Linked DNA regions of Drosophila melanogaster. Changing the gene in region 2 together with the main gene of any one other region gives a genetic interaction. Each region holds a gene or a part of one and is shown on either strand. Other genes may lie near its edges.

Region 1 (5,480 bases), on a different chromosome or scaffold from region 2:
TGGCGAACTCACCTTTTTTATGGCCGCTGGCCTAACGGTTTCGATCAGGGGGCCGCCAGTTCGTGCCAAGAATGAAGCCATTTTGTTCTGAAATCGAATGAGAACGTACGTTTAACGATTTGAAAGCGAATTTTGACGTTACTGCTTACATTTCAAGATTTTTTTGCCGTCGCCTGCTGATGGAGGTGGTAGAGCTTCGATAGCAGGGACTTTTTTATGCTTTTACAATCGAAAATGCCGAAAAACTATCGTGAACTTAATGCAAGGTTGGAAACTGTAATATATTAGCAAAGATTCAAGCCAATTTGGCGGGAACTTTTAATATTGCATGCCATCTAAATTATTTTTCAACTACCGTTATTTTTATGATAATAATAAATTCGCAAATATAATAATATATTCACAAATGTCACAATATAATCTAGACCACTTTTAAATCGAAATTAGTTCGATTAGTTCCCAGTTACTTTGAACATAGCTTAGAGCAAACAAAATCATTGATTTCCCTTTTATTTTATTTTTTCATTTTTTTTTTGGATTTTACATTGCAGCTTGTTATAGGACAAAAAAAACGTGATCACCATCAATACATACAATTAACATACATTCAAGACAATAAATAAGTTTATAAATAGTAGATAGCTATCTAGAAGACTTTAAAGTAGAGCTGTAAATTACGCCAGAATTCTACACTGTGCTACAAACAAGCGCTTAGTGCGCACTTCCGGTTGGCGTGTCTGCAGCAGAGTGTAAGCATTTTATAAACTTTTTTGCAAACGGAAACAGAAAGACGAAAATCGCGCAAATGCTTCACTTGAATTTGCTTGAGCACATCAATAATAAATCAGCCGCGGCGTTGATTTTGTGCAAGCGAATTTTCCAAGTAAAGCAGTGCATTTTCATTACGGCCAAAATGCAGCATGGCTCATATGTATACGTACCACGCCCACTGCGCCCTTCTTTTTAAGGGCAAGTGGCAGGTTGTGTGATACAGGAGCATGCCGAATTTTGACCCACACAAAAGTATATAGAACAAAAAACAGTTTATAAGCATTGCAATGATTTGCATTTAAGTTCCATTTTGCAGTTTAATCTGATTTGGTAAAAACAGATTTCAAAGCAAAATGGTTTTGGGAAAAGCGGAAAAGTTTGAAGAGAAGTTTTCAGCTGCTTGCGCTTATTTTGCATTTGATTATTTTACACAGCTTTTGGGATAGCAGCAAAAAGTGTGCAGAAAATCAATGGCATTGGCAAAACAAATCACAGACAGCGAAAAATTGAGAAGTTTAAATCTAACATAGAACACAAAACACACAATAATATACAATAATGGACTAGGACAAGTGCACGAACATATAAATAAACAAAGACAGAGAACATACTACATATAAAACATATTAAAACTAAGCGAATTCCGTAAAAGCAGCGATCCATCAGCGTAAATCGTAAAATCATCAAAAAGTTCTTATTTTGTCGGTTCCGGTGCCAGCCCAGTCAAAATTTGCATATATGTATCTTGATTAAGAACCCAACTTAATACTCCAGACTCGTTTCAATAACTTGCAGTACGCGCTGCCGACCGATTTTGTTCCAGAACAGATAGGGTTCCTTGGAACCGGTGACTTGGCGTGGTGAGCTGAAAAGTGGCACAAATCGTAAACTCATATGATATGGTATATGGTATAAAGTCTTACGCCTGAAAGCAATCAAATCGCACCACGCCCCTTTCGTTGATTAGACAGGAGTGTATGTCGATGACCTTTAGGTGACAGCATTCGCTTCGGATAAACTTGTTGAATCGGTAGATTTTGTCACATAATACCTTATCGTGACAATAGTTGCCCAGCGGTGCAAGATTTGTTAGAATCGGCACCAATCGCATATTGTGCATCTCCTTGATCAGTAGCCGAAAATCGTGCTCGATCTGAACCAAAGGCTTGCCGCGCATAATGTCCACCGATCCGATATTGACGATGATCTGAGTACCCTCGGGTAATTGGACTCTTTTTAAACGATTTCGGGCGCCATTGATCGTCAGTCCGGATACACAAAGTCCTGACTGCAGGACGCGTTCGTGACGCCTAAATCGGCATTTTAGCTCCATTCGGGCGAGATATAGCATAAAATCATCGCCCATAAGCGGAAAGTCCAGCAGATAGGCATCGTAATCCGAGTTAATCGTCAGCAGAGAATCGTTGTAGGTTCCACTGGTTAAAATCGTTGGCGTGGGCGTCATTTCGTGGCGTCTCTTCATTATGTTCATGCCGTTAAATGGATGCACAAAGATGCCCAAATGGCGGTTTTCAGTCGGTTCGGTTTTCTGGCTTTGGGTTCTGCAGCTTGGCTGATGCCCAGGTGGAGCCAAATTGATTGGTTCCTCTGGGGCATCGGGGCTGTAGATGTTGATGGGTACTGGCATTTTTGGCGCATTTACGCTGGCTTGCTGGTAGAAATTGTTGCTAGGAGTTCAGTAGAAAGATTAGTACATTTTGTTAAGTAAAGGTTTATTTTTGCTATAGTTGCACTGTCTACAAAACACCTTTTCAGTACTCACAGATGCTTCCAATTATCCTGGTAGCACCAGTTCGACTCCGCTGCCTCATTGGCCATTTGATGCAGCGAAACCGGCCTGGTGGCGATATCCTTGGTCTTTTCATCCGTTATCTTGGGCACGGTCCTCGGGCTGGTGTTCAGCTGGGACAGAGCCCTCCGTTTGAAGGGATTCTTCCAGTAGCGTGGAGGTGCTCGTGGTATGTTCTCCAGGGACGGAGCTCCGCTGCTGTAGTCGCTGGTGCGCTCTTTCTGGTTGAGCACCATATCCAGGAGGTGACCGTTCTTCAGGCTCGCTTTCAGGTTGAAGATCCGCTTACCGGACTCGCTGCACTCAGCGGTCACATTGGGAATGGTCAGCAGGAAATCCGTCACGTTGTCGTGCAGTGGAAATGGATTGCCCGTCAGTTTTCGATATTCACCTGGCGAATTTCAATTATAGAATTATTTAAGGGTAATCTTACAAAAAAGAAACATAGAAAAAATATAAATTAAAATAAATATACTAAACTATAAAAGTTATATAATCCAAATAAAATTTAATAACCTACTAAAAATTTATACATTTTAGATTTCTAACTAAATATAGCCACTTAGAGAAAGTTCTGAAGTGTTTGATGAAGTCGAAACTTCTGGAAAGAAGAAAGCTTTCAAACATAAAGCTACTCACTCTTGATGCTCGATATCGTGATTCCATTCTGGGCGTGGCTCAGCAATATGGCGCGCACCTCACTATCTATATCGGGATATTCCTCGCGCACGGATATATAGTTGCTCTCGATGATGGTCATGTTGTTCTCGCTGGTGTTGCTGTTGCTGTTGTAGGTGATTTCCTTGGTGGAAATCTGAGTGGACGAGAAGAGTCTGGCTACGACTTGCAACTGCTGGCTGCTCTGCCGGCTGGTGAGTTCATGGGCCACCAATGGCACCTTCCACAACTCCGGCAATTCGGTTTTTCGCGCCGATTTGAAGATCTTCCGAAAGCGTTCGCCGCATGCGGAGAAATCGGACCTTACGAAGATCTGGTTGAGGCAGCTGGAGGAACTCTTGCGAAAGGAACCGGATGACTGGAGTTTATCGCGCAACTGCTGGAAACACGTGGTCACCCGCTTTTTCACGGACTTAAGATAATAGGTTTTGGCGGAAGTATTGGTGCTGGTATAACTGATCGGTTTGCTGGGGAATTCACTTGTGACTGCGGCCATCGCTTGGAGGAAAGTGATCCAATATTCTTGGATCCCTCGCCAACGCGGTCCACTTCTCCATTCATCTGCATTTTGGAGACTTACGGTGCTTTTCGTACTGGAAGGCGAAAGAGCAGGCGCAACAGAAGTAACGGTGAGCAGTTTGCAGAGATAATGTTTCCAGATCAACAGAATTTGTGAAAATACATTAGGGTGGTACAACCAAAAAATTTTGAAAAAATAAAAAACTGTTTTCAGAACCTAATATAGAACCTATATATATATATATATATTCATTTTCTTTAATTTTTTTATCAATTTGTTCCCATTCGCCCACCATTAGGTTAACATTCAAAGCAGTCTACGTAGCCAGTAAAAACAATTAAACGAAATTACCACCTGCATTGCCATTTGACGACCATTACACAAAGCAGTTTGCACTCCGTTCCAGCTGGACATTCGTTTTAATGGCCTTTCTCTTGGTCCAGATTAGAAAACAGCACGCCAGTGGGTCTGCAGAGCTGCTTGATAAGCAATTACGAAGTAGCATATACATAAATTCCAGAATAACTCAAATGGTGCCGACGAGCGTTACCACGTGCGGTGGTGCTCTGGTGGTCTGTCGGCTAATCGGCAAATGGAGCTGCTTGGCAGCAATTCCCCAGGAGATGATTATCCATCCATACAGCAAGTGCACCTGAAACTCCGAGAAGGGTAATGGAGGCACTTGCTCTGAGGGTTAGTCCAGCGATTGATGGATGACTCAGGGGCTTTCTTACATCTCGTGATGATTCCGGCACCCCGGAAGAAGCACAGACAATCGGAAGGAGGATTATGGCTTCTTAGCTTAAGCAAGTTGGATACAGTCAAACATCAGTAATGCGTACCAGCAAGAAATTACAAAAATTAAATCAGTAAAAATTTTACTTAACTAGCAGATCAGAATAATAAAAAAATAATTTTCAATAAGGTGTTGATGGGTTCAAAGGGTAATATATATAGAATGGGCAATAGTTAGTGCCACTACAACCTATCTGTAATTTAGGGAAGTACTTCCTTATAGATGTTGGACTGTATATTTTCCCTAGCCTTGCCTTAATTGCAGAGGATGCTGCAGAGACGTGACGAGCAATACAATACTATATGTATGTAGAAAAACTGGGCGAGAACATGTGGTCCAATTTATAAATCTCGACCCTTCTCCCATTTTTATTTGCTGAATGTGTAAGCCCAATAATTTAGAGTGGGATGAATCAGCCGGCTTTTCTTGCCATTCAATTTTCCCTTTTCGGGTGGTGTTTCAAATATTTTGAATGCACTCGCACAGCACAGGGCAATTGTCCGGTAATAATAGTAATTTGCATTCCAGGCCCTCTCTCATTCTCTCTACTCCCAGCTAAGAATTACAGTGGTCACTCGATTGTAAGGTAAGGAATTATACATATATTTATGGTATTTGGCAACCTTCCTTGTATTTCTATAAGCGTAATTGTAGGAAGTAACCACTGAAAAATAAATTTGTTTAATATTTTTAAAGACATTTTCCTACTCTCTTCCTTTCTAACAACTACTACCATGATTGACGACCATTTTTGATTGACAACTTTTGCATTTGCGTGTGGTGGGTGTGCATTGGAAATCGCAAAAAGCAATTTACCGCCTAGATTTGTGAACGACACTTTTCATTGGGTTCGACTGCATTTCTGCATAAATTATGGAAGCCGACGGAGCAACTTGTTGTTATTC
Region 2 (4,898 bases):
CGGGTGGAAATTTAAAGTCTAGGGGGTGAACGAACACCAGTATAACAGTCAGTATATAACATATAACACCTTCAAAATGCAGGGGATGAATTCCGAGAAGGGTGTGCATTAATGTAAGCATCAGAAATGAGGGCGAATAATGCAAGATAAATAACAAAAGCGTGCCACAGAAGTTATATTAAAAGTGGGTGTGAATAAAATGTCAGTTACAAAATTGTAATTTTTGGTTTTAGAGTAATTCGTACCTACTATTAAGTATACTATTTGTTCAATACTGCTTTCCAAGACCTTTTTACTATTCAGAAGAAAAGAACCCCAAATGTTCATAAATTCATTTGCACTTTTGAAGTTCCCTACCCAAATTAGTTCCAAATTGAGAAGACAATGACTGTAGAGATGATCAGGCAAAAAGTTTGTATGCCGAGTTTTTTTATTTTTAGAGAACAAGAGTTGAAAGAATTTTCCTGACCTCAATTTGGCTTACAAAAAATTTTAAGAAAACAGTTAGAGGAAAGTGGAATTATACACAATTGTGTTAATCGAACTCGAACATTAGGAGATTAGATATTGACAATCATTCTTTGGGATTGATTTTTCGTTTCCTTTATGAATTCAATAATTTTCAACTTCCTTCTGGATGATTTGTATTTATTTCTTCATTACTTTCCCGCCATTTGAGAGCCGCTAAGAGTGTGGGAGAGATTTGGGCCTAAAAACTCGTTGATATTTCGCTTATTTTCGAGTCTTCGGTTAGGCAATTTGGCTCCAAAGTGACCTAAACCGACCCACTGCTAATGAGCCATTAACACGCTTATCTCGGAGGAGAAGGAAACATGGCTTAAAGACCGACCAGACCTGGCCAAAATTGGCCACGCACATGAGATGGGATTTTGACATATTGGGACTTCAGGTCTTTGGCCCAAAGAGACTCGGCACGTGAGCGTTAAAGCCAAAACACTTTGGGGTTAAGCTGGGGAAAATGAAAATGAAAGAGCAGGCGGCGCGCGAGTGGAAAATAATAGGAATTTCCTCAATTAGATTTCCTAGTCGCTGACCCCAAACCGGGCACGATGTACTGGAAAGTCGAAGGAAAAGCGGGGGAAAGACGAATGCAAATCGCATTAGGACGCGCGTTTAATCTGCTCCAAGGCATCGCCTTAACCCCGCCCCGAGGAAAATGGGGAAACCCACGAGAGGGGAGGGTGGGAAATCTAGGAAGAGGGCACCAGTAAAATGTTGCAGTAAACGATTTTCCATTTCCCGCTGGGTCAGCGGGTCATCGAGTGGGCGAGCGGGAAAACGCGAGATGAATGCAATATGGAAATCAATAAATAAAAACAGCATTTTCATTTAAGTGCTCGACGAGGAAATGGTTGTGGGAAAAGGCCAGAGAAAACCCCGTTCAAGTGTCGCCCATGAAAATGGAAAATCTTTCTTCGATGCGATGTAAATAAACAGTAAGAGTGCGACAACATTTGTTTATAGAAATGGAATGGAATTTAAAGTGCGAAATAGGGAAATACTTAACAAAACAAGGATCCAGAAATTGAGTTCTTTTATTTTCGACCAACTTGCTTGTTTTTCCTATTGGATTTAGACGTTTAAAAATACATTTTTTTACAGAATATAAAAGTTAGAAGCTAATTATCGAGTAATTCCTTTCTCCTGATTCATCACATGCTTTTCTTGTCCACATATCAATCCACTTTTCCATATTATCGATGCCAAAATAAACGATTGATTGATTGATTGAAAAATCAACCCACGCATTTTAATAAAAACAACAACAATTCAAATGTGCAGTTACACACACATAACTAAAAGGGAAGAGAGTGGAAAGCCGAAAGAGAAGAAGAGCGAGAGAGAGCAAATATTATCGCAGTTATTACGAAATCGCAATCGAAACATAACGGTAGATATAGATAGGAAAAGCACCAATACAATAAAGCGAATATAACCGCTAGAGGAAGAGGGGAAGAAGTGGGTGGGTGAAAAAGAAAGATCGCTGTCTCTTTCTCGCTCTCATACTTGCTGACTGCACAATTTGCAGTTAAAAGAAAGAAGCAGAACGGCCTGAGAAGAAAGACAAAGCATAAGAGTAACTGGCCAAGAAGAAGAAAAGAACAAGAAGTCAAGAACAAAATAGAAGAGAGCACACACACACACACATTCGTACGTACCCGTAGAAAACAGAGAAGGCAAAAAAGTCTTTCCTTTTTTTTACACTTTTATCCATTTTCAGTTGCATTTTATAAGATTCTTTAGTACAAACAATTTAACTTACTTGCTTTTTTTAGCAGCCACGCATGCGTCGAATGGGAATTTATGCTCCTTGAGACTCCAATTGGAATTTGTACCCCGGCTGCAAACAGTTTTTTTTTCTCTCTTGCTTTATTTCCACACTGCACACATACACATATGCAGCGGCACATACACACAAGTGCACGCACTGCAGTCGATTTTGTTTTTTTTGCATAAAACTTTATTTCATGTATGCCACTTGTACATTGTTTGTCACCAATTTGCGTATTTTGTACATCAAATTTTATTTTACTTTTCGTTGCCTTCCTTATTATTTTCCTAATCTTCACATGCACTTTTTTAGCGACGCCAACACACACATTTGCACACGCACACACATGGCGAGGATGAGAGAGGAGAAAGAGAGCAAAACACCGTTTTCGTTGCTTCCTTTTCGCTTATTCCTCTTTAGCCGCTTCTTTTCGATTCTGGCTCTTTTTGGCACTTTTAGCCCCAAGTTGCTAGCAATTCACTTAGCGTACGAGCACTAACAATTAAAACGAATAAGACTCGAAAAATACGATGGAAACGCGAACATATAAACAAAAATCTACATTGGTTTTATTGCAGCGCTACGCAGGTGTGTTTTTACGCGCTCATCGCGCAATTAAATTAGAACGCTGCAGATTTACTTAGTTCACTCCAGTCTGCCCAATGCGCGCCGCACACCTCGGAGCCGCAAATTATAAACACGACTGTCTTCGATTTAACGGGCTGGCCTATCGGTCCTATCGATGACTCGATAGTGCGAGCTGGAGTGTGACCATTTCTTGGTAAAAGCAAAATCGTGAAGAGTAAGTGTGCGATACTATCGAACTGTCATATACTCAACCAAATAACATCTGAAATCTGTTTCTCACTAAAACCGAAATTTCCATCAGGGTTAGGAAAATATAGTTTACGCACATCAAGTTGCATAGGTCAATCCTACGTAAAAAAGGCTCGATATAGGTAAGGTGGACCTCAGCCTGAACAGGGCCTAATGCAAATACATTCGATAAATAGATGTTATCGATAACCATTTGGTATATACCAGTAAATGCTTTGTTTTGGTTTTCATTCAGAAAATTGACATACATTTCTTAGTCTGCCTAAAGTTCCTTGGATTGAAAAGAGCAGTGCAGAATGTCGCACCGCCACCAGGACATTCCCATCCGCCCACGTTACGGTTATGTGGCCGAGGAGAGTGGCCCATCGGAAGGGGCAGCCAGGAGTTCTGGATCCGGAGCCACGCCCGCCTCCTCCTACACGGAAATTCCGTTCCTGGCTCAGTATCCGGGAGCGGTGCCAGAGCACGTGCTCCAGGATCTGACGCCCACAGCCACTGGCCATGCTGCGATTCCCGGAAGCACAAAGACAAGACCCAACGGCGAGAAATACCTTAACCTGGATTCGGGCGAGGATCCCGACGAGGAAGACGATCCCTTGGAGGAGGAGGACAACAGCAACTCGAATAGCAACTCTAAGGGCAGTTCCGGCGACATCGAAAGGCACAGACTGAAGGCAGAGAGCAGTGGGTTCTAGGTTATCTACCCATAGTTCCTGACTAAAGCATCTTCCTTCTTTCAGCTGTGCCCTACGAGCTGGACGGCGAAACCAGTGACTCCGACGGGATGCGCCACTTTGTGGCCCACGATCTAGAGGCCAAGTTGCGCGAGCGCGTGGCGGCTTCGGCCTACTCCTCGGAGCACACCACGCCCCTGAGCTCCATGGGTCCCATTGGAGCCACTTCCGGCAACGGTCTGCTCACGCGGCGGTTCCTGCAGTCGCGCAACATTCCCGAAGTGGACGGCAGCGTCTTGAGCGACATCGAACTGGAGGCTCAGTACTTGGCCAGCTCGGTGGACAATCTGATGGAAAACCTGGGCAACCTGCTGCACTCAATCTCCTCCATAACGGCCGACAACGTGGAGGTCCATCGCAACGCGGTCAACAAGCTGACGGACACTTTGGACGCGAATATCAAGTGCCAGTACCAATTGCTGGCCAAGGCGGAGGAAATCACCAAGTCGATGAAACCCACAGAGCAGCTGGGTCAGCGCATGTAAGTGGGTCAATTCAAGACAGATCCCTTTAGTGTAATGGACTTTCTCTTCCGCAGAAGGCAGATCAAGCGGCTGGTGGACATGTTGGACAGCACCATGTAAAATAGGGCTACGCTATCCTGTGATCAACCAATCAAAGAGATCTTGTCTTTCTAGTCATTCCGTAAATACATATAATCAGTGTTATAAAATCCATATGGAAAGATACCTTTCGCTTGTTTAAATCGTACTTATTCTAGCAGTTCCTCCAAAAAATCCACCTCCTTGGCTCACAGCTTCTCCACCTTGGCCTTGATGATCCTTAGGGGATCCACGGGGCGATCGTTCTTGTCGGTTTCCACCATGCCGATCCGCTTGACCACCTCCATGCCCGTGTAGACCCTGCCGAAGATCGTGTGCTTGCCATCCAGCCACTGCGTGGGCGCCAGCGTGATGAAGAACTGGGACCCGTTGGTGTCCGGTCCAGAGTTGGCCATCGAGAGGATGCCCGCGCCCGTGTGCCTCAAGTCGCCGTGCAGCTCGTCCGCGAACTCCGATCCGTAGATGGAGGCG
Region 3 (6,305 bases), on a different chromosome or scaffold from region 2:
ATCGCGGGTTAAACGGTCACTGCATTTGCCAGTTGAACGAACTTTAACCGCATCTCTCGCGTTGAGTGCGTTTCGTTTGAGTGGATTTTGCTCTCTTCTCTATCGACAGGGTTGACACCTAACATTTTTAAAAGAAACAATCATGGTCGGAAGAAGAAGAGAAATTATATTTATAAATGCGAAAGCACGTTGGTTTTGAAACGTCCTGCACTCAAAAATAATCGATAAGTCACTCAAAAATAAAGTTTATGAGCGAACACACGCATTGAAAAAGCATGTAGGCAACTAATACAGACGCAGAAAAATTAAAATTCCAAAAATAACTCATGGCGACGAATAGAAACGCAAAGCGAGTGACGAAAAAAGGGCCACCAGGCGTCGAAAGTGAAATGCGTACCCTACTATTACGAAATTCGTAGGAGCTTATTGGTTTCAGTATACGCTTTAAAACTATTTAATACTTTTTTATGTCTTTCTCTCTATTGCTAAATCAAAGTTTGTTTTTAATTTTTATTAAACATGGTTTCTTTATTTTTTAATTATCAAATTATTAGCAATTACATACATAAACGTAGATGTACTTAAAATTTAGTTGTATTCATCAGTTTTTGTATAATAGTCTGTGTGGGCGTTGCATTTGTTTGGCCGGCGTAAAACGCGACCACGCCCACCCATAAAAAATGCGACGGATCGCTGAGCCGCTACGTGTACTTCCATTTTCTTTCGTTTTTCTTCTTTGTTGCTTTTGTAATTGTTGTACATTTGTGTTGTTGCTGTTAATGCTGTTGTTGTTGTTGCTGTTCTTATTGTTGCTCGTCCGGTAAAATGTCTGCAGGAAGCTCAAGAACCGGTCTAAACCGGGAGAAAGCCGTTTTGGTGGATCGTAAACCCTATGGCCATGGCTAAAAATATATATTGCTGGCTGGTTGTCACTTCCGTAGGCATGAGTCTATATATATAATGTATGTATGTATATGTATGTATAATGTATAATGTATTTTATGTTGATTGTACAAAAAATACTTAAATAAATATGTCTGTTGTCAGGAGCGTTTGTTTTCTTTAGTTAATCCTCTTGACCTGTATCTTATAAATCACTCACTACGTGCTCGTTGTTTTTTTTTTGTTGTTGTTTGCTGACGTCGACTGGTTTATCTGGGATATAGCTTAAAAACTAATTTACTAAATATGTAGGTGGAGCGTAAGTACATCGAAAATATTGTTTTTCTTGCAATATTTTCAAAGTTCTTGCCGCCGCGAATACAAGAAGTGAACGTCTTACGTAAATTCTATGTGGCATAAAAAAGAGGCAACATGCCTCTCCAGTTTATACCAAATAAAGTTTACAATAGATTAGTTAACGCGGAAATACAAAAACATCGAAACAATAAACTATAGAATTTGTTAAGAAAGGGAAAACGAAAGTGTACAAACGAAACGAAGATTCAGGATGTCTTCTACACAAATGTTTTTGATTAAATAATTGGCGCTGCGGCCACAAAAAATAACTTAGCTGAATAATAAATCTCTGTACCTCGGTGTGTGTGTTTTTGGGTTCTAAATTATGATCTTCGTGTGTGCTTATTTTGTTTGTCTTGTTCAGCAAAGAGGAAAGAGTTGTGTTGTGCTGCGTTTGATTTTACATAATGGCGCACTTCTCGTTTGACTGCTGAGGATCGCCCTGCTGGTGGTAGAGCTGCTCATTGCCGTCCACGGCGGTCACGCTGCGACGACGACTCAGCCGGGAGGAGGATGTGTGTTGGGACACAATGCGCTTGATGCGATCCAGATTGGCCACGGCCTCGCCCTCGGAGTTCAGCAAAATCGTCCTAGTGTTGTCGGCGGAGACCCACTTCTGTGACTTCATCACAAGGCTCGATGGCGGCTCGTGCGAGGCCTTGGTGTCCGCCGACCAAACGGTGATCACGCCATTTGGCTCGATCCTCACCGATCGATGGAACTTGTAAGTGGTCGAAGGACCTTTCTCGTTGATTAGCCGCTGCAGCTGCCAGCCACCGATGGCCACCTCCTCGCTGCCCTTGTTGAACAGCCTTACGAACTTGCCCTCGGGATCGATCTCCTTGATCTCCACGTTGCCCTTGGCACTGGCGGACACATAGTAATCGGCGACGCTGTGATCCTCCGACTCGTCGACCACGGCGCGTTTGCGCTTCACGGCAGCAGAGGGAGTGCGACGCGATGGCGTGGCTCGCGTGGAGTTGCGCAGCGACTGGCTAAAGGACTGCACTGTGGCCGTGTTGGTGGCTGGGGTGATGTTCAAACGAGCCTCCTCGCCCACCAGCAGCTTGTCGTATGCGGCGATTTCCAAATCCAGGGAGACCTAAGCAGGATAATTAGATTTATGTATTAATACGTACACGATTTTAGACAAGTATTAAAGCTAACCTTGATGTCCATAAGGTCCTGGTACTCCTTGAGCTGTTGCGTCATCTCTTCGCGCAGCCGAATGAGCTCCTTCTCGAGAAGGTCTATCTCTTGACCGTGGCGTTCGCGATCGTTGTCCAGCTGGCGCTCCAGATCACGGATCCGCGCATTGAGGTCGGCATTGGCTTGCTCCAGTTCGTTGATATTGGCGTTGAGCGCATCGATACGCACACGAGTGGAGCGCAGCTCCTCGATGGACTTGTGCGTGGAATTGGATGTGCGTGCGGCGGCCTCTTGCAGTCGTTGGATCTTGTCCTCGTAGAGGGACTGGATTTCATCGCGATTAATCTGCATCTGCTCCTCGTACTGGGCGCGCAGCTCCTGCAGCGACTGCTTCAACTTGGCATCGTACTCGGAGCTGAGGCGACCGTCGATCTCGCTATACTCTGTCTGTTTGATGCGGCGCGACTCATTGATCTCCTGCGAATGGATCTGATCCTTGAACGAGAGCTCCTCGCGCAGACTCTGAATGGTGTTCTCCAGGTCAACGCGCGACAGTGTCTCCTGTTCCAGGTTCTTCCGCGTTTCCTCGAACTGCTTACGCAGTCTCTCCAGCTCCTTTAGCGCCTCATTCAGGTCTTCGTTAAGCTTCTTCCGATCGGCGTTGGCCTGGTTGTATTTGTTGTTCAGCTCGTTGGCGCGCGACTCGTACATGCGGACATTGCCTGCGGGTTGGGATAATCAATCAATTAATGTTCGTTAAATGCCAGAATAGGGATGATTTTGTCACAGAAAGTGAGGAATATCATGGGATAATCATTATATACAGTTCAGCAACTAAATGAATGTTTCGTTCTTGCTTGAAACCACGCCTTTTGTCTCTTCTTACTTTTAATTTTATCATTACTCTACTTTCTTTGCCCTACAATTATAAGGTTTTCTTATCGATTCAGTTTCCACGCACTTACCCTCAGCAGTGGTGCACTCCTTGGTCTTCTTGTCCAGCTTGTTCTTGAGCTCCTCGTTCTCCTCCCAGAGACGCTTGATATCGATCTCGGCACGAGCGCGATCCCTAGCTGTGTCATCGAGCAGACGGCGCGTCTCCAGCAGCTCGGCCTCGAAGATGTTCTTGATGTTGGTGGTCTCGCGTGTGACCGTGTCCCTGGTGGTCTGCACCTCGATGGTGAGGCGGGAGTTCTCCGTCTCCAGGTTGCGCACCCGGTCAATGTAGGTGGCCAGGCGATCGTTCAGGTTCTGCAGCTCCACCTTCTCGGCCACGCGCGAGTGCCGGGTGGGGCTGAGGGGGCTGGAGGCCGTCTGCGAGTGAGTGGACGGCGGCGGCGGCTGCGGACCCGCCGATGGCGGCCGGGGGGTGGAGGTGTTGCCGGGCTGCGGCGTGGCGGTGCCAGCACGTCGGGATTTGCTCGACATGTTCACGCTGCAAGACAAATGAAATGTGCAGAATAACACGTGAGATTTTTGTGACTGACCTCTTTAGGACACAACACTTGAAGAAAAGTTGAATAACACAATTGCGTGCCTTCTAAACGCGTTTTATATGCAATACTTATATTTGAACTTTTTCGTTCGGTGTAGGGTATGTTATTTTTGCGCCCTGATAAAATTCCAAACAGAACCGAACACGAAAGAGGGGAAACGCACAAAACGCTCAAAAACAGAAGCTAAACGAGTTTCTCTAACGCGCTCTCTCTCTCTCTCGCAGTCTCCTCTACGTCTCACTCACACACACGCACATCGCTTTCCACTCAAGCGACTGTACTAAAGCGGACGAGGAAAACGAAGTGAGTTTGTCGGCGTTTGTTTATGGGCGTGGAGGCAAATGGCGCGGCTAATACTAGTTTAATCAATCGCAACGCTTAGCTAATCCAGTCGACGCACTTTAAACGATTTGATAAGGAGCCAAAAATTGCACAATATGGCGATTTTAATTCAATATTTACAGCGACTTTACACTAATACAGGCAGGGGGGTTATTTCGATTTTGAGTGAAACAGTGCCGCCTCTATTGTTCGGCACTTAATCAGTTATTTCAACTTTTTCTACAAGTTTTCCTAATGCTCGTAGATAGCAGCGCAACTCACCTGACTTTTTATAACGAACGGAAAATGCACAAATTTGAAAATGAAGTATCTTGCAGCAGGAAAACGCGGCCGACGCTGGAACGTGTAATCGAATTTGTTGCGATGGTTTCAGAGACTAATCGATAACTTTCCGGCATGCCTGGTGTGACCAAACGCCGCGCTAGATAAAAGACTAAGAACCGCTTGACCCCAAAATGATAAAAAAAAAATTAAATTTAAGCTCAACAAGCCATTTTAATTTAAAGCGTTAGAAGGCATATATTTTATAAAAACTTTTTAGTTGAAGCTTACAAATGGATTTGTTGTGCACAACTATCGATAACTTAACGATATCACCCGGCTCAGCTCGCATGAGTTCTTAAACGTACTTCGGTCACACTGCTCTGCGCTGTTTTTTCCTCCGCATCACGTTAAAGATTTTAAAATAGTTAATTTCACTTTAAAAGCTGTATTTTAAAGTGATAAACGTGCACAAAAGGTGAGTTTGACACTGAAAATCACACTGCACTAAATAAAATCGTCGCTTGTAATGGGTATTTCGTTTTATTTCGAAATACATGTAATGCGGTGCGGTGAAAAAACAAAATGGCGGAGGGAACGCCGGCACCGGTTCCGCAAAAAAAAGCGGCATTTTCTTTAACAAACACATGTAACTTATCTAGTCGCACCCATTTTATTTCCCAGCATTTAGTTGCGAATTTATAGCCGATAACTAGTTAAAGGTAAGAAAGCCGCAGAAATGGCCGACAATGACGATCTTTTGGACTACGAGGATGAGGAGCAGACCGAGACCACTGCGGTCGAAAACCAGGAGGCCCCCAAGAAGGATGTCAAGGGCACCTATGTGTCCATTCACAGTTCCGGCTTCCGCGATTTCCTCCTGAAACCGGAGATCCTGCGCGCCATCGTGGACTGCGGCTTCGAGCATCCCTCGGAGGGTGAGTACTTGCACTCCACCTGGAGTGACGAAAGGTACAGTCACTAACGATGCTCTCCGCTTGCAGTTCAGCACGAGTGCATTCCGCAGGCCGTACTGGGCATGGACATCCTCTGTCAGGCCAAGTCCGGCATGGGTAAGACCGCCGTCTTCGTTCTGGCCACGCTGCAGCAGCTGGAGCCGTCGGACAACAACACCTGCCACGTCCTGGTCATGTGCCACACCCGCGAGCTGGCCTTCCAGATCAGCAAGGAGTATGAGCGATTCTCCAAGTACATGCCCACAGTCAAGGTGAGTCTACGTTTTAATCCATTGTATATAATTCAACAAAAAGTTTGGTTCGACTATATAGTTACTATATATTAATTCGATATGTTTTCTATTTAGGTGGCTGTCTTCTTTGGCGGAATGGCTATTCAAAAGGACGAGGAGACCCTCAAGAGCGGCACCCCGCATATTGTGGTGGGCACCCCTGGCCGAATTCTCGCCCTCATTCGCAACAAGAAACTTAATCTGAAGCTTTTGAAGCACTTTGTGCTCGACGAGTGCGACAAGATGCTGGAGCAGCTGGGTAAGTTGACTAATAATCACCAAATGACGGACGTTTTACTAATAACCAAACCATTCTTTTAGATATGCGTCGTGACGTTCAAGAGATTTTCCGTAGCACGCCGCACGGCAAACAAGTGATGATGTTCTCTGCCACATTGAGCAAGGACATTCGTCCCGTTTGCAAAAAGTTCATGCAAGATGTAAATATCAACGTGTTCATAACCAAAATGCTCGTACTTCTCCACCTCGCATCCACCGCTATCACGACAATTAGTTATTATTTTGTTAATGCCACGCGATATCGAACATTCGATCTTGATCCCCTCCGT

The links.
Region 1: of klar (region 2) and osk, changing one suppresses a phenotype caused by changing the other (phenotypic suppression), as found in Drosophila melanogaster (one study listed by BioGRID).
Region 3: of klar (region 2) and Lam, changing one enhances a phenotype caused by changing the other (phenotypic enhancement), as found in Drosophila melanogaster (one study listed by BioGRID).

What each region holds. Positions count from the first base shown.
Region 1 is NT_033777.3:8,933,421-8,938,900, reverse strand, and holds osk (oskar), read right to left. Parts: upstream 3,776-5,480; 5' UTR 3,756-3,775; coding exon 3,221-3,755; intron 3,186-3,220; exon of another isoform or gene 3,102-3,185; intron 2,973-3,101; coding exon 2,555-2,972; intron 2,460-2,554; coding exon 1,695-2,459; intron 1,637-1,694; coding exon 1,534-1,636; 3' UTR 506-1,533; downstream 1-505. Other genes in the region: ScsbetaA (Succinyl-coenzyme A synthetase beta subunit, ADP-forming), read right to left, coding at 13-81. UniProt on the Drosophila melanogaster protein: Organizes the germ plasm and directs localization of the posterior determinant nanos. Oskar protein is required to keep nanos (nos) RNA and staufen protein at the posterior pole.
Region 2 is NT_037436.4:537,615-542,512, forward strand, and holds the start of klar (klarsicht), read right to left. Parts: upstream 3,001-4,898; 5' UTR 2,285-3,000; intron 1-2,284. Other genes in the region: BORCS6 (BLOC-1 related complex subunit 6), read left to right, coding at 3,427-3,814, 3,871-4,345, 4,403-4,448; Cypl (Cyclophilin-like), read right to left, coding at 4,616-4,898.
Region 3 is NT_033779.5:5,540,843-5,547,147, reverse strand, and holds Lam (lamin), read right to left. Parts: upstream 4,669-6,305; 5' UTR 4,488-4,668; intron 4,370-4,487; exon of another isoform or gene 3,824-4,369; 5' UTR 3,817-3,823; coding exon 3,354-3,816; intron 3,111-3,353; coding exon 2,407-3,110; intron 2,342-2,406; coding exon 1,640-2,341; 3' UTR 506-1,639; downstream 1-505. Other genes in the region: Hel25E (helicase at 25E), read left to right, coding at 5,227-5,425, 5,492-5,715, 5,812-5,995, 6,058-6,176. UniProt on the Drosophila melanogaster protein: Lamins are components of the nuclear lamina, a fibrous layer on the nucleoplasmic side of the inner nuclear membrane, which is thought to provide a framework for the nuclear envelope and may also interact with chromatin.